Linked DNA regions of Diceros bicornis minor. Each later gene encodes a partner of the first gene's protein in a complex. Links are inferred from orthologs where the notes say so. Each region holds a gene or a part of one and is shown in the gene's direction. Other genes may lie near its edges.

Evidence for each region. Proteins that work in one complex are often made in the same cells at the same time.
Region 2: the proteins of OSGEP (region 1) and LAGE3 are in contact, whole or in part, in a crystal structure (PDB 6GWJ), measured with the Homo sapiens proteins. The link is inferred for Diceros bicornis minor from reciprocal best matches to the Homo sapiens genes OSGEP and LAGE3. Residues at the interface, in NP_060277.1 of Homo sapiens: Arg50, Ile53, Leu54, Asp55, Leu57, Gln58, Leu61, Gln69, Ala84, Val87, Ser88, Val91, Val92, Arg94, Thr95, Val96, Gln98, Leu99, Trp100, Asn101, Leu315, Ser318, Gly319, Val320; in NP_006005.2 of Homo sapiens: Glu76, Ile77, Gly80, Ser81, Leu82, Pro84, Asp85, Asp125, Gln126, Leu129, Val130, Arg132, Thr133, Met134, Arg136, Phe137, Gly138, Pro139, Pro140, Val141, Arg143.
Region 3: OSGEP (region 1) and GON7 share a complex: the UniProt entries of both Homo sapiens proteins name them as parts of the EKC/KEOPS complex. The link is inferred for Diceros bicornis minor from reciprocal best matches to the Homo sapiens genes OSGEP and GON7.

Annotation. Positions count from the first base shown.
Region 1 is NC_080744.1:28,852,563-28,860,433, forward strand, and holds the start of OSGEP (tRNA N6-adenosine threonylcarbamoyltransferase), read left to right. Parts: upstream 1-4,869; 5' UTR 4,870-5,395; coding exon 5,396-5,510; intron 5,511-7,003; coding exon 7,004-7,123; intron 7,124-7,871. Other genes in the region: PIP4P1 (type 1 phosphatidylinositol 4,5-bisphosphate 4-phosphatase), read left to right, coding at 251-356, 566-618, 723-813, 1,302-1,445; APEX1 (DNA-(apurinic or apyrimidinic site) endonuclease), read right to left, coding at 2,519-3,036, 3,176-3,368, 3,934-4,121, 4,327-4,384. UniProt on the Homo sapiens protein: Component of the EKC/KEOPS complex that is required for the formation of a threonylcarbamoyl group on adenosine at position 37 (t(6)A37) in tRNAs that read codons beginning with adenine.
Region 2 is NC_080781.1:138,416,838-138,423,989, reverse strand, and holds LAGE3 (EKC/KEOPS complex subunit LAGE3), read left to right. Parts: upstream 1-4,965; 5' UTR 4,966-5,039; intron 5,040-5,158; 5' UTR 5,159-5,417; coding exon 5,418-5,626; intron 5,627-5,948; coding exon 5,949-6,077; intron 6,078-6,320; coding exon 6,321-6,435; 3' UTR 6,436-6,642; downstream 6,643-7,152. UniProt on the Homo sapiens protein: Component of the EKC/KEOPS complex that is required for the formation of a threonylcarbamoyl group on adenosine at position 37 (t(6)A37) in tRNAs that read codons beginning with adenine.
Region 3 is NC_080763.1:38,867,801-38,875,371, reverse strand, and holds the start of GON7 (EKC/KEOPS complex subunit GON7), read left to right. Parts: upstream 1-4,561; 5' UTR 4,562-4,595; coding exon 4,596-4,803; intron 4,804-7,285; coding exon 7,286-7,380; 3' UTR 7,381-7,571. Other genes in the region: putative E3 ubiquitin-protein ligase UBR7, read right to left, coding at 6-101, 1,333-1,393, 1,854-1,987, 4,191-4,340. UniProt on the Homo sapiens protein: Component of the EKC/KEOPS complex that is required for the formation of a threonylcarbamoyl group on adenosine at position 37 (t(6)A37) in tRNAs that read codons beginning with adenine.

The DNA of each region.
Region 1 (7,871 bases):
TCCTTTAGGAGAACGGAGAGTCTCGGGGACTGGGAGAATTATCCTAAAGTAAAAGAGGAATTAGAGACCTGAAGTTTAAACAGTGCTCTTCTTCAATGATTCTCTGGGGTACGGTTGGGGGGCAGAGCCTTAAATGCACAGAGAAGTAGATGAACTCAGAGAGGCAGGGAGTAGGGGATGTGAAGGAAGGATAGCGTGGGGATCCTTAGGATTAAGAATATTTTGAACATAGTCTTTTTCTCCTGTACAGCAAAAGAATCATCAATCTTGGGCCTGTGCATCCAGGGCCTCTGAGTCCAGAACCACAACCCGTGGGTGTCAGGGTCATCTGTGGACATTGCAAGAATACTTTTCTGGTGAGGAGAGATATTGGGAAGCCCTGGAAAAAAGAAAAACAAGAGTAATCATGAATATATTTCTGAATGATGATAATGAATCCTGAAAAGGTCTGTTCTATGAGGACCTATTTCTCACCCTCTCCCTGCCCTAGGGCTCTTATTGAAGATGACTTCTACTATTAAAGCTTCTACTATTAATTGCTTTCTCCCTTTTTCTTTCTCCATAGTGGACAGAGTTCACAGATCGAACCTTGGCCCGTTGCCCTCACTGCAGGAAAGTGTAAGTGATTAAAGAGTGGCATCGTTGGGCTGGTAATGGGGTAATGTGTAGAGTGAAAACTACAGGGTCATTACAAGCGTCTATTTCTGTTTGGCTCCCCACAGGTCATCTATTGGGCGCAGATATCCACGAAAGAGATGTATCTGCTGCTTCTTGCTTGGCTTACTCTTGGCAATCACTGCCACTGGCCTTGCTGTGAGTAACCTTGATCAGACCCTTCATTCTTCAGCCTCATCTCCACAGGCTAAGATTTGGGAAATGGCTACTCCCCAAAAAAGTGAAACTGAGGGCTGGGTTGTTTTGTCTTGTTTTAATGTGCAGATGAGCTGAAGTTGAACTAACTGATAAACAGTCCTCGCTGTTACTAAAGGAGTAAAAACCAGCCATCTTTTTTATGCAGAGGATAGGACAACAGAGAAATGGCTTAAATTAAAGAGTTGGTATTAGGAAACCTAAGATATTGAGAAAATCTGACAGTTGTCTAGGATTGTATGAGTTATGTTCCTGCCTAGGAGGAGGGAGCTGAACAACTGGGCCTTTAAAAAGGTCCCTGAAGGTGCCTACATGTGGACAGGGAACAGGAACTGAAGCTTGAGTTCTGTGTTACTGTTACCGGGGCTCCTAGAAAGTGGTGAGAGATCAGCAGTAACCCCATCTTTCTTTTTCTTCTTCACCTTCATCAGTTTGGCACATGGAAGCATGCACGGCGATATGGAGGCATCTATGCAGCCTGGGCATTTGTCATCCTGTTGGCTGTGCTGTGTTTGGGCCGGGCCCTCTATTGGGCCTGTATGAAGGTCAGCCACCCTGTCCAGAACTTCTCCTGAGCCCCATGACGACCCACAGACTGTGCCTGGCCCCTCCCTGGTGGGGACAGTGACACTACAGAGGGAGCCGTGGTAAAAGGCTCCCCAGGGCTTCTGTAAGAGGAGCCGAGCAGCTGCCTTCCTTTTCCCTGGGGAGAGGTAGGAAGGAACCAGGCCCTCACCTAGGTTTGGAAGGGTAGATAAGACCACTGCTGGCCATCTGCTTTCCCCCAGGGGTTGCTGTTGAGAGTGAAGTAGGTGAAATGTTGCCCTTAAACCTGGGCCCTAAAAGACGGTTCTAGCCTCGTTCTTCCTATGTGCTCCCCAAGAGCCATTCCTGTCCCTTACACATTCCAGGGCAGGGTCGGGGTGGGTAGCCCTGGGGGTTTCCCTCCCTCTTGTGCACTCTTAGGACCTTGCTGCTGCTATTGCACTTCACCAGGGGCTGGCTCTGGCCTCAGTACCCTCAGTCTCCTCTCCCCCCATTCTGTGTCCTGTGGGGGTGGGGTCAGCTGCTGCTCTGTACAGAACCACAGGAACTGATGTGTATATAACTATTTAATGTGGGGTATGTTCCCCTAGTCCTGTGTTTTCCTTCATTCCTCCTAACCTTACCTCTCAGTTGCAGTATTTAACTGGGCTGGGTAGGGTTCTTCTCTGTTGGGGGAAGTTAGGGACTCATCCTGTGCTTGTAAATAAATAAGGTTATGACTGTCCTTTTCCAGTTGTTAATCTATACGTATGAAAAGATGAGGAGGGGAATTTGTAGCCCTACAAAGGGGTAGAATACAAAGACAGCAAGGCTGAAACTATGGCTCTTTATTTTCACATGGACAGGTCAAGGAAGTCATCAGTAGCTTTTGTTTAATGTAAAAAAAAAAAAACCCGTCAAAAACAAAACCAAACCTCTGGCTTAAAGAAAACCTAAGTCTGTCACTAGGAGCCTGGTTGAAGGATTCATATTTTCACAAAGAAAATACAGTGCAGATTTCTCTAGAGAGCAGTTTTTAAAGAAGTTTGGGAGCGGGGGTAAGAAGTTTTAAAGCTAGTTTGGGGGGCTTATTTCCCAGGCTCAAAGTGATTTGGGGGAGGTGTCACAGTGCTAGGTATAGGGTGATGGGACAGTGGTCACTGCCCAGGGCCTTGGAACGGATCTTGCTGTCACACAATGCAGGTAACAGAGAGTGAGACAACAAAAAATAATCAAGGCGCCAACCAACATTTTTGGAGCGTGCATTCATCATATAGGTCCAAAAGGTGTAGGCATAGGCCGTGTCAGGGTAGAGATGCCGGAAACTGTCAGCCAGTGGCACAGCCTGCAGCAATTCCCCAAAGCCCTGACGCTCTTGTGGCGTGAAGCCAGCATTCTTTTTGTTTCCCTTGGGGTTACGAAGGTCAATTTCTTCATGAGCCACATTGAGATCCCCACATAGCACAAGGGGCTTGCGGGAAGCCAGGCCCTTCAGGAACTTGCGAAAGGCTTCGTCCCAGCGCTGCCGGTACTCCAAGCGCACCAGACCCCGGCCTGCATTAGGTACATAGGCTGTTACCAGCACAAATGCATCAAATTCAGCCACAATCACTCGGCCTTCCTGATCATGTTCCTCCTCACCTACAGAAATGATGAAACAATCAGAATAAAGAGGTATAAAAGGGAAAACAGAGAATAAAGGAATCAAGAATTGGGGCTCAGTCGGGTATTAGCAATTGGTTTGAAAGAGCTCAGGCGTTAGGAATCAATAGGGTCTCACCAATGCCATAGGAGACTTTGAGTGGGCACTGGCGGGAAAGCAGGCCCACACCACTGTACCCTTCCTTGTCTGAAGGAGCTGACCAGTACTGATGGGATAGTCCAGACAGCTCTTGAAGTTCAGCTGGTAGTTTGTTCTCTGAACATTTGGTCTCTTGGAGGCACAGGATATCTGGGGCTTCTTCCTTTACCCACTGAGTGAAATGACAGGTAGAAAAAGTATCATCAATTCAGCAGACATTTATTGAAGAAGTTATGTTCTAAGTACTAGAGATACACAAGTGAGACAGTCCTTGTGGAAAAGGAGTGTAACAGTCTAGGCACAATATTTAAATAATTTAAACAATGATAAATTATGTAACTGCCACTGATGGAGGGAGGTAGGGAGAGTGGTACAGGCAACACTGAGATGTGGTTTTCTACAGGCAATGGATAGCCAGCTGAGATTTTTAAGCAGTAATTTAAATGGAGGATATGCTGGAGATAAAATGGAGCAAGTCCAGTAACAAGGTTTTTGCAACATGCTGGGGAAGAGATGAGGACATCAAAACAATGCTAAGGGAATTGAAGGAATGGACCTTTAGGAAATACAACTGGTATGAGTTGGTGAAGGCCCTCCTTGTGCCTCTCCCCCAAGAAAACTACCAATAAGGGAAAAATAAAACCTACATGCTTGGGACTAAAATGAGAAAAGGCAATTAAACCCGTAGATCATTCAATACTAAAGGCTGTCTCTTCCCCTCCTTGAATTGCACTCACATCTAAACCTTTCTTCTTAATCCAGGCTCGAAGCCCATCCACATTCCAGGAGCAGATCTTGAGTGTGGCTGATTTGCCACTGGGTGAGGTTTTGTGATCTGGGGGGTCCTCATACAGGACTGGTCCCTCTCCCGCTGCCTCTTTTTCGTTTTTCTTTGCTCCTGCCTTACTCTTCTTGGCCTCTGGCTCTATAAATGAGTAATACATAGTGATAAAACTTGGCGGTATTTAATTTTGATCCAGAGTTAACTACAGACCCACAGCCTGCAGTTGCCGCGCCTTTTTCAGAAACTCGGCAAAAATATATTTAGTCTGGCCTACTTCCGTTCATCGGAGCAATTAGAAACACCCCATCGCAGCCTCTAGGGAGACGGGCTCATTTCATTCTCTTACCAGTCTTGGGCCCTTCTCCGTCTTCTGCCACCGCTCCCTTTTTCCCACGCTTCGGCATCACTGTAACAAACGCCCTTCGGCACCCGTTCCGCGTCGCCCACCGAATCAGTATTTTTACCGCGTTGCCTACAGACGCAAAGAAATCATGAAACCAGCTGAGGCTGAGGAAAAAACTCCTCCCTCGGGCGCCCTCGCACTAGGTCCCGCCTTTGAAACCATATTATCTCAGAATCCTTTCCCCGCCTCCGCGCACTATAGGCCCTTCAGCCCCTCACCCACAAGACTAGATCATTCTATACTGCCTTGTACCCTCCTCGCGAGATCTGCCCTCCGGCCAATCCAGGGCCTTAATTAAGGGTGCCGATTTAGGCTGGCCGATCAGACGTCCAGAGAAGCCCCTGTGATGGGCAAAGAACAGCAACCCCGGATCTGACCTCCCCGAGTCCCAGCCTGGCTCCTCCTCACCCGAGCACAAAGAATGCAGCACGTTGTGGCCCCACGTGGGTAACTGGCGTGGTCACGTGTTCTGAGGTATGTATTAGGTGGCGGAGGAATGCTGGTGATTGGTTTGTCTGGCACCACATGACGGGGCAGCTCGGCCTTCCCGCCCTTCGCCCTGTCTCCCGGAATCGGAAGGACCTAACCCTCCATCCTCGGGCTGTTTATCGGTGTGCCAGATGCCCGACTCATTCTGCCACCTTGGCCGAAGACCCCAACACTGTGCAAGAGGGAGAAAATCAGTGGAGAAGCCTGGGCTGAACCGCGGGAGAGAGGCAGAAGAACGGATGGGAACGTACGGAGGAGATGCCGGCTCAGCGTCTCTGGCAGTTAGGAGGACAGGTCCTTGAAGGGGCCTTGACGGGTCGCCGTGACACGGGGGCGGGGCCGGCGCGGGCGCGCCACCCGCAGGAGTACTTTAGTGTCTGTCTGTGCGCGCCGCTACCTAGCGGCGGCTTGCTCGTGGTCTTTCTTTGCGCTCCGGAATCAGCGACCTTGCAGGGCCTGGTGAGGGCTCCGCGGATCCTTTGGCAGCTAGGAGCCCTGCCGGCATTTTCTCTCAAGCTTGGCCATGCCTACGGTGCTGGGTTTTGAAGGCAGCGCCAACAAGATTGGCGTGGGAGTGGTGCGGGATGGCACGGTGCTGGCGAACCCGCGGCGGACCTACGTCACGCCTCCGGGCACAGGTGCGTGAGTAGTGGATTTGTAGTTTGCGGCGCGCTTCTCTGCACAGCATGACCTTCCTCCTCCTCAAACACTAGTGACATAGGGAGTGGAGCGCATTGTCCGCTTCGTAGAGTTTTGATCCGAGTCTCTGAGATTCTGACAGTATTAACGTCACAAGGCTGATAATAGAAGAGTCGCAGGCACTTGGACCTGGATCTTTTGGGTACATTCAGCTTTTATTGAGTGCCTTTTATGTGCTAATAATCAGCTGGCTGCTAGATACAAAAATAGGTGTTGTGAGCCTGCTATGGAATCCGACATATAAACAGAACTTTACAGTACGGTAAATAGTGTAATATAGATGCAATCAAAATATTCTAGAATGAGAAGAAGTTTAAAGACTCTCAGCTTAGGTGTCAGACAGAACTGGCTGGCTTTGCAGTATTCATGTTCAGTATTTGTTTTTGGACTTCTGTTCCTTACTCTTAAAATGGGAATAATAATAGTACCTGGGTCATTGGGTCTTGAGAATTAAATAAAAGTACCAGACACATTGCACTTGTAATAAATGTTATTTGTAAGTTATGATGTTACGTCTTGCCTATCCTCCTCCAAATTACCTGCATACATAGGGAAGGGTAATTGACTTGCATATACCTGAAAAGCCTCCGTGAACAGGCGATGTTGTGACAGGTTACTCATTAACAATACATGTGGGGCTGGCCTCGTGGCTTAGCGGTTAAGTGCACGTGCTCCGCTACTGGTGGCCCGGGGTTCAGATCCTGGGCGCACACCGACGCACCGCTTCTCCGGCCATGCTGAGGCCGTGTCCCACATACAGCAACTAGAGGGATGTGCAACTACAACATACAACTATCTACTGGGGCTTTGGGGGAGAAAAAAAGGAGGAGGATTGGCAATAGATGTTAGCTCAGAGCCGGTCTTCCTCAGCAAAAAGAGGAGGATTAGCACGGATGTTAGCTCAGGGCTGATCTTCCTCACAAAAAAGAATAAAATAAAATGAATAAAAAACAAAAGTAAAAAAAAAACAAAAACCAATACATGTGTATGTTTAGCACTCACTCGTCTAAGCATTTTGACACCAGGAATACAAAGATAAATAAAATAGCCAGTGCTTTGAGATGCTCATGGTTAAAACTTGGGAAACCACAGATAATTATAATGCTATAATAGTTATTTGTTAAATACAATGATGTGATCACGCACAAGGTTCTGTAGGCTTGCAGAGAAGATCTCCAAAGGCTATGAGATAGGTGTCACTTGAATTAAGTCCTGAGGGCTGAGTAGGAGTTGAGTATGAAGAAGGGCATTTCTGAGAGCTGTTCAGCATGGCTGAACAGGCTGGAAGAAGTAGATCTGAAAACCTGGAAGACAGGATGCATGAGGAGAGTGAAAGGGACTCTTCTTACACTACTAAAATGCCTGTTTTTTACTTCTACCTACCTTTGCTATAGAAAAGCCCTATGATCTCTGACCTGTGTCCATCTCCTAGGATTCCTTCCAGGTGATACTGCCAGGCACCACCGAGCCGTTATCCTGGACCTGCTGCAGGAGGCACTAACAGAGGCTGGATTAACCTCCCAGGATGTTGACTGCATTGCCTACACCAAAGGTATGGCTGGGAGCGTGGTCGCCAGTGGAAGAATATACAGGCATACCTCAGAGATATTGCAGGTTTGGTTCCAGACCACTACAATAAAGCTAATATCGCAATACAACAAGTCACACAAGTATTTTGGTTTCCCAGTACATATAAAAGTTATGCTTACACTGTACTGTAGCCTATTAAGTGTGCCATAGCATTATGTCTGAAGAAAACAATGTACGTACCTTAATTAAAAAACACTTTATTGCTAAAAATTGCTAACCATCATCTGAGCCTTCAGCAAGTCATAATCTTTTTGCTGGTGGAGAGTCTCGCCTCCATGTTGATGGCTGCTGACTGATGATGGTGGTGATTGATGATGGTTGGGGTGACTAGGGCAATTTCTCTTTTTAGGGGGGTTGGGGCTGGGGCCCAAGACAAGCCCTGGCCAGGTACTCACTGTGGTCACCCTGGTTCTGCCCCTTCTCTCTGAGGGGCAGTTTCTCAAAATAAGACCAACAATGAAGTTTGCTGCAGCAATTGACTCTTCCTTTCATGAATGGTTTCTCTGTGGCATGCCATGCTATTTTGATAGCATTTTACCCACAGTAGAACTTCTTTCAGAATTGGAGTCAGTCCTCTCAAACCCTGCTGCTACTTTATCAACTAAGTTTGTGTAATATTCTAAATCCTTTGTTGTCTTTTCAACAGTCATCACAGCATCTTCACCAGGAGTAGATTCCATCTCAAGAAACCACTTTCTTTACTCATCCAT
Region 2 (7,152 bases), on another chromosome or scaffold:
GGCCACCCTTCATTTCCATTTCTATGCTTCACTCCCACGTCTGTGGCTTATCCAGGCCCTTCTCCTGAGCTCCAGGCCACATCTCCAGGGTGGGACTCCAAGACAGCTCTTGGCTCTCCTGCAAACACCTCACTCATTCCTTCAGCACACACTCACTGAGTGCCCGCCATGTCCCAAATGCTGGCAACACTGAGACTGAAAGACACAGTCCCTTCCCTCTTAGCACCCATGGCCAGTGCTGGGCAGCCCCTCAGCACCCACATTTTCTCCACGACCTGGCTCAATGAATGGCAATACCACTCAGCCAGGCTTTTAATGACAGGAAGTGGGAGGCCACCTTTGCCTCTCCCAACTCTCCCTTCTCCATAGGCAATCTGTCAACAATATTTTTAGAAGAGTCCAGAGCAGTTACTTTGTAGAATGTTCTAGAGTCTGGATTTGCCTGATTCCTTCCTTGTTAGATTCAGCTTAAGCACTTTGACAAGTTGCTTTCCTTCCCCCTCTCCCTCAACAGCATCAGCAGGCACTCGGGGTCAGGTGGTCCCACTGTGGGGGAGGCTCGGTTTGTTTTGATCACGTGGTCAAGGTGGTGGCTGCCAGGTCTCCCCATTGCAAAATTGCATGTTCTCTTCTTAATGCACAAGTAATCTGGGGTAATACCTTGAGACCCTGTCCATATCTTGTGCGCAACAATCCTTATCTAATGGTTTCACCAACCAAGGATGAGCCTGACCAGAAGGAATTGCATTGGGGGCTGCAAAACAGTGGTTTTCTGATCCTTTTTTTTCCCTGAGGAAGATTTGTCCTGAGCTAACATCTGTTGCCAATCTTCCTCTATTTTGTATGTGGATCGCTGCCACAGTATGGCTGCAGATGAGTGGTGTAGGTCCACGCCCAGGAACTGAACCTGGGCAGCTGAAACAGAGCATGCTGAATTTAACCTCTAGGCCAGGGGGCTGGCCCCTCTGATGCTTTCCTTCTTTCTACAATTGTTAATTGGCATTTCTCTATGAAGAGCTTTCCTTTTCCCCTGCTCTCTTTTCTCAATTATCATGGTGGATGCATCGTTTTTTTTTATTCAACAACTTAGAATCCAAGAGTGTCATTTTGGGGTCATTTTTATTGGTCTACAGCATTCATGCAGTACTGTGCATAAATCATATCACTGTACAGTGCAATGGACCTTTAAAGTGAACACCCTATGTATCTATCCTCTCCAGACTGAAATAGAGAATACCACCAGCACTCCAGCACCTTCCCTGGTGCCCCCTCCCAGTCATGCTCCTCTCCAAAATCGTTCATATTCTTTTAGATGCTCAAGTTGTTCTAGCTTTGCTTCTCTCGGGTTAGTTCCTGAGTCCCTTTGACATGCCTCATGCTTCTGTTGTTCAAGCACTTCCTGACTTTCTGGCACTACAAGGTGCTCCAGGCTCAGCTTGTGTATTTCTTACCCCAGCCCTAGAATCCACCATTACTTTTTTGTTTTTTTTTCCCCCCAAAGCCCCAGTAGATAGTTGTACGTCATAGTTGCACATCCTTCTAGTTGCTGTATGTGGGATGCAGCCTCAGCATGGCCGGAGAAGTGGTGTTTCAGTGCGCGCCCGGGATCCAAACCCAGGCCGTCAGCAGCGGAGCGCGCGCACTTAACTGCTAAGCCACGGGGCCGGCCCGAATCCACCATTTCTCCAGGGAGCTCTGGTCCTTTGAGTGGAGAACGATACTGAGAAACCAAGGTCTGAGTGCAGGGTGTGTTCATTGCTACTGGGGTGTCACTGCTTCTAGACTTTTTCACTGGCTCGAACTAGGAAATATATATATATATATATATATATATATTTTTTGTGTGTGTGTGTGTGTGTGTGTGTGTGTGAGGAAGATTAGCCCTGAGCTAACATCTGTTGCCAATCCTCCTCTTTTTGCTGAGGAAGATTGGCCCTGGGCTAATATCTGTGCCCATCTTCCTCTACTTTATATGTGGGACGCCTGCCACAGCATGGCTTGATAAGCAGTGCATAGGTCTGTGCTCTGGATCCGAACCTGTGGACCCTGGGCCGCCGAAGCAGAGCACGTGAACCTAACCACTATGCCACCAGACCAGTCCCAGAAATATATATTTTTATGAGTTCATACTGCGGGGCCGGCCCAGTGGCGCAAGTGGTTAAGTGCGTGTGCTCCCCTGTGGTGGTCCAGGGTTCACCGGTTCGGATCCTGGGCGTGCACCGACGCACCACTTGTCAAGCCATGCTGTGGCGGCGTCCCATATAAAGTGGAGGAAGATGGGCACGGATGTTAGCCCAGGGCAAGTCTTCCTCAGCAGAAAAAAAAAAAGAGGAGGATTGGCAGATGTTAGCACAGAGCTGATCTCCTCACACACACACAAAAAAGAGTTCATACTGCAATCCCTAATTCCAATCCAGCATCACAGTTCTTTCTCACCTTCCCCCATTCCACAGTGAGAATTCGGGTTCTCGACATCCATATATTTACTCTTTTGCTCTACCGGGTGGAGTCTATGTTAAAGCACACCCCAAAGAGCTCCACACTGACCTCATCACTACCATTGCCAACGACGAACATACTAAGAGGAAAGCCAATTCTTTTGGTTCTTAGAATACATCCCATGAAAGCAGTCCAGTCAGAGAGCTGAGTTGAAAGGCACCTAAATTGTTTTCTGTGTGGTTTTGTTATCAATTGGATATGCAGTTAGGCTCATTTGTTTTTGTTTTTATTCAATTTTAGCATTTGATTTTTTTCACTCTTTCAAATGTATTTTTGACCACATAAAATATTCACATGGTTCAAAGTCAAAAGTACACAAAAAGGTATATTCCAAGAAATCCCATACCCATCTGAACACCCTAGAGGTGACCATTTTCATTAGTTTTGCGTTTCTTCTTCCTATGTCTTTTCTTTTTTTCCAATAAGCATGTGTGTGTCCTTTGCACTCTGCTTTTTTCACATAACAATATATCCTGGAGATCATTTTATTTTTCATTAAAGATTTTCATTCTTTTTTACTGCTGCTTAGGACTATTGTATGAATGTAGCATAGTTTATTTCACCAGTTCCCTGCTGACAGACATGTACCTTGTGTCCAATAGTTTTCCATTACCAATTATGTTACAGTGAGTGGCTCTGTGAATGTGTTGTTTCATATTTGTGAAGTAACATCCTACATGCGGGATTGCTGGTTCCAAGGCAGTGCTCCAGTTTTGTACTTAGTTAATACTCTGTTTCATTCAACAAACAACAAAGCACCTACTGCATAAACTGCACTGAACACATACCAGTGATGATATATCAACAATACAGAAGAGAACAAAACGAAATTATAATTTCAGATTATTAGAAATGTTATGCAGCAAATTGAAATGGGCAAATATGAAGAAGCGTGCTGGGGGTAGTATGTCAGATTGGTGATCCAGAAGCCCTCTCAGAGGTGACATTGGAGCCAAGATCCTAATGACAAAAAGGAGCTAGCCATGGGAGAGTTTGGGGACATAGTCTTCCAAATAGCAGAGTAAGTGCAAAGGGCTGAGGGCAGGCCACCCTTGGTCAGTAGCAGAGAGAAGGCCCCAGAGGCTGCAGAGAATGAGAAAGCAGGCAGGTGGGGTCGGAGGAACTGGGAGCCAGGTCACACAGGGCTTTTATAAGCTATGACAGGGAGTTTGGATTTGATTCCAAGGGCAATGGGAAATCGTTTTAGGATTTTAAGCAGGGACATGATATGATGTGATTTATATTAAAAATTAAGAACCGATTCTGTTGTGTAGAGAACAGGCTGCAGAGGTGCAAGGGTAGAAGAAAACCAGTCAGGAAGCTGTTGAAGGAGTTCAGAGAGAGACGGTGGCTCCCACAGGGGACTAGCAACGGAAAGGGAGAGAAGTTGGCTGATTTAGCATCTATTTTGAGGAGAGAGCCAACGAGATTTGATGATATAGTTCAGATTCATGTCCTTCCTTTTGATTCCAAAGGAGGAAAATAGAAAAGCAACGACAATCACCACCAAAAATTTCATGTCACTTTAAAAACATATTTTTTATTAAAAATGTCATAAAAGATTACTGTCAAAAATTTTGAGGAGGGCCGGCCCCGTGGCTTAGCGTTTGAGTGCGTGTGCTCTGCTGCTGGCGGCCCAGGTTCGGGTCCCGGGCGTGCACTGACGCGCTGCTTCTCTGGCCATGCTGGGGCCACGTCCCACATGCAGCAACTAGAAGGATGTGCAGCTATGACACACAACTATCTACTGGGGCTTTGGGGGAAAAATAAATAAACAAATAAAAAAAATTTTTTAAAGTTTGGGGAAAACACAAAAAAGTTAACAACACAATCCCATCACATCCAGATAACAAGTGTTTACATTTTGCTGTATTGTTCTAGGATTTCTATGCATATAGACAGTAATTTCCCTAATTGGGATTTTAGTGATTTTAGTCTTGCATTCTGATGGTTCTCACTGCCACTACTTTATTTCAGGTCCCTATCATTTGTCTTCTTGCCTCCATGGGGGCCTCCCTGCTGGCAGGCTTGACCTCCACACGGCCCACTTAGTGATCTTTCTAAAAATAAAATCTGATGGGGTTGTTGCCCCCTTTAAATTCCCCTTTGGTTTCTCCACCTACATGGCCAATGGGGCGGGGTGCAGAGCAGTATCCCTCGGGGACTATCCAATTCCACCTCCCTCCACAAATCACTGCCAGGACATCGAGCCACATCTCTTGGGGGTATTGGCTCTGGGAAAGAGATAGGGCGGGAAACCGGCCACACATCTGGCGCCCTCACACGAGGTCTTGCGGGGCGGGGGGGGGGGGCGGGGGAGCGAGGTGGCGAGGCAGGACCGGTTGTGCAGGCGCGCTGGGGTCACATGTCGTTCTAAGGGGCAGAGCTTCATGAAGGAGCATTCATTGGCTAGGTAGCCAACGGGATGTCTCGGGGTGTGGCAGGCCTGGCTGGGCGGGAACCTGTCGTCCTTCCAAGGAATCAGAGGGTGTCTGTTTGCGCAGGCGCTGTGGGGATCCCCCGTGGCACTGGGCACTAAGGTGCGGAGCTTGGTGAGGGACTGCTCATTGGCTAGGTAGCCATGGGGTCTCCCGGGGCCCGCGGGCGGCAGGGCCTGCTGGGCAGGAACTGAGGCCTCACTAGGGGCCTGTTTGTGCAGGCGCCCTGGGGTCGAGTCATGCGCGAAGGAGTGGGGCTTCTGCAGGGAGCCTCAGTTTCTCAGCAGCCAACGGAGTCTCCGAGAGCCTCCAGGATGGTCGCTTTGGCGGGAATCCACCACGCGCCCGGCGGCCTCACTAGGGCCTGTTTGCGCAGGCGTGCGGGGCGGAGTCAGCGTGAGGGGGCGGAGCTTTGGGAAGGAGCCACAGTTCCTTAGGCTCCGGCAGAGAGGGCGGAGTCGAAGGCGGAGCGCGGCGGCCATGCAGGCAGCAGACGCAGGCGCAGGCGGTGCGGCGGGCGGTGCCGAGAGCCAGGACCGCGAGGGTGGCCACGGCCTCCACGGCGGTGCAGGCGCGGCGACCGCTGCAGCCGGGGGAGCTCCGCGTGTTACGCGAGCACAGCACGCCCCAGGGCCAGGTGGAGACGCCACATCCACAGCCAGAAGGCCAGAAAGCCGACTACACATATTGTATCCTACCGGAGGGGACAGCGGGGAATGGTCTGGGGGCTGCCTGCGGGCGGGGAATGACGTGCAGAGGGACAGATGGGTCGGTGGCAGCCTGGGGGCGGAAAGGGGAGCGGGGGGGAACCGGGGACGGCTGGGGCTGGGATTGGTATGGGGGGGAAAGAAATGAGAGTAAAGGGGAACGGGGTGGCTGGGGAGGACTAGGGCCACGGGTGGTCTGGAGGGGGTGGAAGCAGTCCTGGAAGGAGTGAGACTAGTCAGGGTGGTCTGAGAGGGGTCCCGAGGCACAGAGTCTTTATGGATGGTGCCTTAACCGAATCTCCAGCGTCCTCAGCGTGCCTTTCCCGTCCCCCTTGGAGGCGGAGATCGCCCATGGGTCCCTGACCCCAGATGCGGAACCCCACCGAGGGGCGGTTCGGAAGGAGCTCACAGTGATTGGCAGCGTCCTGGCGGTGTAAATTCTCGGGGCTGGGTAGGATTAGCAGCGGGTGTCCAGGCCACCTGGGGCGCTCTATTGGAGACACGGAGACACGGGTTAGGTCTAGAGAGGGGACATGGTCCGCTAGACCCGTCTCCGTCTGAGGGGGCGCTCTAATGCACATAGCAAAGGATTCGGTGTAATGGATGCCTGAGAGGCAGAGCGAGGAAGGGGAGGAGTTACCGCGTCCAAATTGATTTTCTTTTCCCCTCACTTTAGCCGCTGGAAAGCTGAAGATTCTCGCCTCCTCCGAATTTCCATCATCAACTTTCTTGACCAGCTTTCCCTGGTGATGCGGACCATGCAGTGCTTTGGGCCCCCTGTTTCCCGCTAAGCCTGGGCTGGGAAAGGGGGCTAAGGTCTAACCTCCTGTCCCTTCCAAGGCAGTGCATCTTTCCTAGGCGGAAGATTGCTGCAGTCGCTGCCACTTTATTATGGGGCCCTGATGTTTTGCTTTTACTGGCCTTTGGGCACTCAGGGTCCACTTGTTTCGTTTGGTGATTCAGTGTTCATTACAGCAGAAAATAAAACTGAGCAGCTATTCCGTGTCTGAGTTCCTTTTCAGCTACTGCACCTCCTAATATTCTTGTCTTTGTCCTCATGGTGCGGGGGCGGTTCTGGGATTCAGATAGTCCAGTAGGACAAGGCAATTGAAGACAATTTAGGAAATGGAAGAAGGTGGGTCTTGTCATTCAGTATTAACTACTGTCAACATTTTGGAATATTTTCTTACTTTTATACTTGTATTTCTATAGTAAATAATAATATATAATGCATGATATTTTGCAAGTTTAGGATTTTTCCTGATATTTTTCATCTAATATGAACTTTCACTCTTTCTAAAAATTCTTCAAAAGCATTATTGAATAAATGCATAAAAGATAAATTGTAATTATTGAACATTTAAATTATTATTTTTGTGTGTGTGAGGAAGATCAGCCCTGAGCTAACATCCACGCCAACCCTCCTCTTTTTGCTGAGGAAGACAGGCGCTAAGCTAACATCTATTGCCAATCCTCCTCCTTTTTTCCCCTTTTTCTCCCCAAAGCCC
Region 3 (7,571 bases), on another chromosome or scaffold:
CTTACCTCATCTTCAGGATCAGGATAAGGTCTCTTGCAAATGCAGTACAATCCAAAAAAGTTGTCATTGTACTTATTGCCAGAATTTGTCTTTGCTTTGTCCTGTAAGATATTAATTTCAATATATAATATGTTCTGATTTTAACTATAATTTCAGGCATCATGAAATTTATGCATTCAGTAAATTTCTGCATTAAATATCTTCCCCCCAGGAGCTGGTCTTTAACTTTCAAAGTACAAAAAATTCACGCCTATTAAAGGGATACTTTTTCCAGGATACAGGGCAAAAATAAAATTTATTTTTTGTAACTTCTTTGTAGCAATTGGGGGAAACCGAATACACCCATTTAATAAAATGGTGACACAAGTTAACTATAAGTATTAATTAATTATCAACCTATGTAAACTGATGTTGGCCTAGAATTTGAAAGCGCTTCTTAATGCCCAGCTGTGAAAGCCAAAGCTCCCAGGTTACCAGGAGGTAAAAAGCGGGCAAGAAAATTGCCTAAAAATAAGTTTCAAAGGAGGGGAAAAGCATGACAGTTTTGGCAATTATGATCGAACAATGCAAAATCCCTTACTTTCTCTTTCATTTCTGTTATTTCACTAAAACTTATCATATAAGCATAGTTTTTATTAGCCAAAAAGCAGTAAAAACTCCTGTGTGCAACTAGCCCATATTCATTATTATCAAATTATTTATTCAGTTTTTTTTTTTTTGTGAGGAAGATCAGCCCTGAGCTAACATCCATGCCAATCCTCCTCTTTTTGCTGAGGAAGACCGGCCCTGAGCTAACATCTGTTGCCAATCCTCCTCCTTTTTTTCCCTTTTTCTCCCCAAAGCCCCAGTAGACAGTTGTATGTCACAGTTGCACATCCTTCTAACTGCTGTATGTGGGATGCTGCCCCAGCATGGCCGGACAAGATGTGCGTCGGTGTGCACCTGGGATCCGAACCCGGGCCGCCAGTAGCGGAGCGCACACACTTAACCGCTAAGCCACGGGGCCGGCCCCATATTTATTCAATTTTTAGTCATACCCTCTGCTTTAAAAGTCCTAGAGCATGAGTACAATCAACATAACTAAACCTGAATCACTTCAAAGAACATTCGCCCAAACCTTTCATATTAATTACAATCTATACTGTAGGCTCTGAACAGGTTACTTAGCTTTCCAACAGGATAAAAACTGGAATACAGTCTAATATTGATTTGCCCATTTGCCAAGAATAAGCATAAGAACTTCCTTTGTGGAAAATATTTGATTTTTACCCACTCTGGCAAATATCAATCTCAGCTACTTTCAATGCATCTATAGTTACAGTGCTTACTTACAGGAAATAATTTGCATTCCAAATTTTTAAACTTGCTGTTTCCACAATCACAACGAAAATTTCTGAAACAAAGGAGGAAGAGCCAATTTTAATTTTTCTTTTAAATCTAATGACCTACTCTTTAAGTTCATATCATAGTCTCTTCCCTTTCAACTCATTTTTGGGATCTAAAAAGTGGCCTTGGTTGCTGTTCATGTATCCAATTTGGAATTTCTCCAAGCACATAACGATAAAAGATTTAATAATTCTTGAAATTAACATGCATAAAGACAAATATCTGTAACTTACACGAGTAAAATAATGGCATAGAAGGATGAGTAGTTTCAGTTTGTTCCATAATTGTATTTTAAAAAGCCCTCTGGAAAAACTCTTCTGTCCAATTATACTATATAAGACAATTACATTAAATTTTACCCGTGCACAATTACTTTGAATGGAAAAGCAAGATTAAGAAAAAAATGCAGCTTGGAAAGAATCTAAACATTTAAAAAGCATTCAGCACCAATCTCTAATTGTCTTTACCTTTTTGTGTATAGTTCAAATAGTTTATGACTTCCATGGCATTCATAACTGCAAGCTAGGCAAATTCCTGCCGGTTCTTCTCCCTCTGGAGTGCAAGTACTACAGGCATACAGTGCTTGTCTCTTTACTGAGCCCTAAAAGACAGCCCCAAAATGGAAAAAGAGAGAGAATAAATTAATTAAATATGGCATGGTTACCTAATACCCATAATGTGATCTGAGAAGTAACTGAAATCAGATTATGTGTGGTCAAGATCTTCCTGTAAAAACCACTAAGACTAATAAGAAAGCTTACACGAGAGAGTACCAAAACATTGTTGCATGTTTCAGATCACTATATATTTACTACATTAGTGCTTGTTTTCATACAATTTTTTCTTAAAGTGATAGGAAGTTTAATATTCTCAGTCAGCTATGAATAAGCAGGTCTGTTTAGTGACTGTAACACATGAAAATGTAGGAGAATGTGTGTAGGTTTATGTAAGGAACACCACACTTTAATTTCGGAAAATGCTGTGATTCCACCAAAGAGAAAATCAATGCATTAAAAGAATCCCTTTGAGGGGCTGGCCTGAGGGTGTAGCAGTTAAGTTCTAGTGCTCTGCTTCGACGGCCCAGGGTTTGCTGGTTCAGATTCTGGGTGCGCACCGAGGTGCCGCTTGTCAAGCCATGCTGTAGCGGCATCCCATATAAAATAGAGGAAGATGGGCACGGATGTTAGCACAGGGCCAATCTTCCTTAGCAAAAAGAGGAGGATTGGCATCAGATGTTAGCTCAGGGCTAATCTTCCTCACACAAAAAAAAAGAATCCCTTTGATATTTAGGAGATGCATGCTGAAGTATTTAGAAGTGTAGTGTCATGATATCTGCAACTTATTTTCAAATGGTTCAGCAGGAAATAGTATATTACGAAGAAGAGAAAGATTAAACAAATGTGGTAAAATGTTAAAAAGTGAATATGTGTAAGAGGTACAAAGGTGTTTCAACTTATCTGTAGATTTAAAATGTTTCAAAATAAAAAGCTGAAGGAAAAACAGGCAAAACTTTTAGAAATCTTGACAATGGTTACCCTCCTCTAGGAAGAAGGGAGACACAAGGAAGCTTCTGGAATGCCAGTAATGTTCTATTTCTTGATCTGGGTGGTAGGTAACTGCATATGTGTGTTTGTTTTTCAAGCCCTACACATGTTCTGTGTAATTTTCCATACATTTTCCTACAATAAAAAACGAAAACGTTAAGGAAGTCTGTTTTACAAAGCTAACTACATTTCAAAAATAGCTCATGTACAGGCTTTTTTTAAAAAAGGAAAGCAGAGAAAAAGTTGTTTTGGTGGTGACCAAACGTTTTAAAATACCAGCCAACACCTGGGACTATCTCTAGATACCAGGTGCTTTCAAAAATCTAACCATTTGGCAGTGTAAGCTTGACTGGCCAATGGTGACAACTGGTATTATGATCTCAGTCCACATCACATAATGACCCCAAGTCTCTCTCCTCATCCCCCAATGTTCCACTCCACCCCCCTGGAAAGTAACATTCTTCCTCCTACCAATTCTCATCCCTTGTTAGTTTTCTTCTACCCACCTTTCTCCATTTTTGTACCTAGAAATATCGGATGAGTCACCAAACACTACATCACACCCCCTCAAATCCTTGTTCACATCTTCCAAGTGCCAAATTTCCTCTTCAAGTAGCTCCTTCCCTCTTCCCCTCTCCTCTTTTGCCAGTGCCACCTGCTGTCCTGGTTCAGGTCCATCCCCATGGGGGGCAGACGGCAGCCAGACACAGTACTTGCTTCGTCTCGCCAAAAAGCTACCAGCTAGCACTTGTCAAACTAAATTGCAGAGGAACTAGCTGTCAAGGAGCCCAGCCCACACAGGGAGATTTTCAAATCCAGACCTTTCTCCTTTAACTCTGCTTTCACTCTCCCATTCGGTTCCCAATAAATACTCTTAGGATCGGAAAAGTAGGGACAAAGATGTCTGAATTGTGAGAGGTCACGGGGATGGTTTCGTAAAAAGCAGCCGGGCGCCGAGAAGAAACGGGAGAGGAAGGACAGAGCAGCTGCTCCAGGGCCAGAGCCTCGGGAATCCTGAGGGGCCGGACGGAGGCAGACCGATGGACGAGGGGGCTTCTGCTGGACAGGGGCTGAGAAAGGGGGCCCAGGGGCTGAGGGTAAAAGGGCAGCTGGGCCTGGCATGGGGGAGCCTACGAAGAACGGCGGCCCCGCACCAGCACGGGGGAGCCGGGCCGCGGCAGGCGGGAACAGGGCAAGTCCGGTCGGGAAAAGGAGGCTCAGCGGAGCCCGGGGGAGACCACGCCCGGGCCGCGCGCCCACCTGCGAGTAGGAGCACTTCTCGGAGTCGCTGCCGCCCAGCACGGCGCACGCCTCGTTCTCTAGCTCCTCGTCCTCCTCAAGCACGTCGACCAACGATACCACGGGCTCCAGCTCCGACTGCCGCCCAGCATGCCCCTCCGCTCCAGCCATGCTCAACTGTCACCAGGACCGCCGCTCTGTCCCTGCGGAGGCGGGAAAAGCGGCCTCGAGGGGGCGTGGCCGGAGGAGGCGGGGCCTGAGTCCCAGGAACCAATCCCAAAGAAAGGAGGTGAAGGAAGGGGGAGGAGCGACTTCCGATGAACGGAAGTTACTCCCCTCCCTTCTCCCGCCCGCGCCCGCCGTAGGCTGGCTTCCGCTTCCGGGTGGCGCATCCTTGTGACGCGCTCTGGAAACTCAGCGGTCGCCATGGAGCTGTTGGGCGAGTATGTTGGGCAGGACGGGCAGCAGCGGCAGCTGCGGGTGCCCTGTGAGGCGCCCGGCGACGCCGACCCTTTCCAGAGCCTGTTGTCGGGAGTGGCCCAGATGAGGGAGCTGGTGGCCGAGCTCTTCGGCCCCCTGGTACAGCGGGAAGCGCAGGACAGGGAGGCGGTGGCACCGGACGAGGCCTTGGACGGTGAGCTCTGAGACGGTGTGGAGCGACAGGAGGGCGGGGCAGGGGCGCCCGTGGAGAGTGGCAGACTTGGAGAAAGTGAGCCTCAGGGGAAGAAGTTTTTCCTAAAAGACGTTGGCACTTTCCGCTGTATTTGGGCTGATTAATCTGGGCTGCTTCTTACCCAAGCGTTTTCGCGATTCTTCATTTATATCACAAAAAACGTGCTGCACGCCTCCTGCTAGGTGTCAGGCATGGGGCTGAGCCCTGGAGAAAGAATGAGGTGAAGGCGACTCGGTTCCTTTACCTGCGAAACTCTCACTCTGGTGAGCGGTTAGACAGGTAGACACTCTGGGTAAAAAGGGCGAGTGTGACCCCAGGGCCTTCTGTAACTGTTGCAAACCCAGGGAACCCCGGAAGGCTTCAGAGAGGGCGTGACTTTTAAGCTGGCTATTGAAGGATGACAGGGAGTTTTCCCAGGTGTGAAATTACAAACATGTTTGGAAGGCTGCCATCTATCGCAGAATAGGAGCAGGTTCCGAAGATTGGAACAGATTTCAGTTGAGCAAGTCTGAACTCGCAGGGACTCCTTCCCTTTCTCAGTTTTGTTTGTGAAGTTTGAAAGTCAAAGCGGGAAATTTAGCTGCATTAATTTTTTTTTTAAGTCTCATCTTAAATACAAAAATAGGGACATTTGATTGCCCTGAGCTGAAGAACCTAAAAACTGAATATTGGAGTCAGGACTTAGCTTTTTTGTAGAGGAGCTTAAACTGTACTGTACTTTTTTTCTTTCCATCTTGTTTTCATCTTGATAGTTTCAGATAATTTGAAGGAGCCAATTCAGAACATTACACCAAGTTCAGACAATAGGTTGTTTCCATGAGAGTGAAATCCTGTTTCTTGCTTCCAAAATACCTCTCCTAATCTGTTGAAAATATTACCATTGGCATGAGAATGAATATAGTTAGAGCCATTTAAAAAAAAATTTTGTCATTACTTACTGCAGAAATAACTGCCACCTGTTCTGTTAATGGTGTAATGTCTTTGTATAGATGGACATGTTTTTGTATCTTTAAACAAGTCCCCATAAAGCTTAGGTTTGGATTTCCATTGTTAAAAGTGACAGAGATTAAAATGACGAATTTTAACTTATATGAATATACCAAGTTTTAAAATTATAAGACTTACTAAAGAAAAGTGACAGAACCCAACACTAAAAAGACAAATAATCCATCTACCAAATGTACAGAGGATTTGAATAGGCAGTTCTCCAAATAAGATATACAAGTGGCCAATAAGCACATGAAAGGATGCTCAACGTCATTGGCTATCAGGGAAACGAAAATCAAAACCACGATAAGATACCACTTCATGCCCACTAGGATGGCTATAATCAAAAAGAACAATAAGTGTTGCTAGGATGTGAAGAAATTGGAGCTCTCATACATTGCTGGTGGAAATGTAAAATGTACCTTCTTTGGAAAACAGTTTGGCAGTTCCTCAAAAAGTTAAACATGAAGTTACTGTATGACCCTGCAATTCCGTTCCTAGTTCAAGGGAACTGGAAACATACGTTCACATAAAAACGTATGCATGAATGTTCATAGCAGCATTATTCATAATAGCTAAAAAGTAGAAACAACACAAGTGTCCGCCAGCTGATAAGTGGATAAACAAAATGCATGTTGATACAATGGAATGTTATTCAGCAGCAAAAACCAATGAAGTACTGATAACTGCTACAATGTGAATGAACCTTGAAAACATGCTAAGTGAAAGAAGGCAGACACAAAAGCCCGCATATTTTATGATTCGTTTATATAAAATGACCAGAATAGACAAATCTGTAGAGATAGAAAGTAGATTAGTGGTTGCCAAGGGCTGAGAGGAATAGGAAGTGGCTGCTAAAGGGTGTGGGATTTCTTTCTGGGATGATGCAAGTGTTCTAGAAATTAGTGATGATCAGTTGCTCAACCTAGTGAATATACTAAATCAATAAACCTTATACTTTAAAAGAGTGAATTTTATGGTATATGAATTATATCTCCAAAAACAGTGATAGAAAAGAAAGGTTTTAAACACCAAAATTCCTGAAATCTTTTTTTTTTTTTTTTTTTTTTGTGAGGAGATCAGCCCTGTGCTAACATCCGCCAATCCTCCTCTTTTTTTGCTGAGGAAGACGGCCCTGGGCTAACATCTGTGCCCATCTTCCTCCACTTTATATGGGACGCCGCCACAGCATGGCTTGCCAAGCAGTGCGTCGGTGCGCGCCCGGGATCCGAACCAGCGAACCCCGGGCCGCCGCAGCGGAGCGCGCGCACCTAACCGCTTGCGCCACCGGGCCGGCCCCCCTGAAATCTTTTTAACCATACATATTTCAGATCTGATATATGCATGGTTTTATTAACCCCTAAAGTGAAATGGTCTCATTATCAACCATTTTAGCTATCTATATTTCTTTCAAGCACTGAACATATTGTCATACAACAAATATTTATTTTAAAAGGTGATGATGAAGATGATGTGGAAGATGAAAATAACATTGATAACAGAACTAACTCAGATGGACCATCTGCAAAACGGCCGAAACCACCATCTTAACAATAGCTTTTATGAAGTTTAAAAGACTGCTACTATAACTTAGTTATCTCATACTGACATTTAAAGAAGACTTGTGCTCTAATTTGGAAAAGCATTTGTTTTGTTCTCCTGGGACAGTTTTGTCAAGGAACTGTCTTGTCTGTTTCCATCAAAAAAAGATATAATAAATGTTTAGAAATGTATCTGTTTTC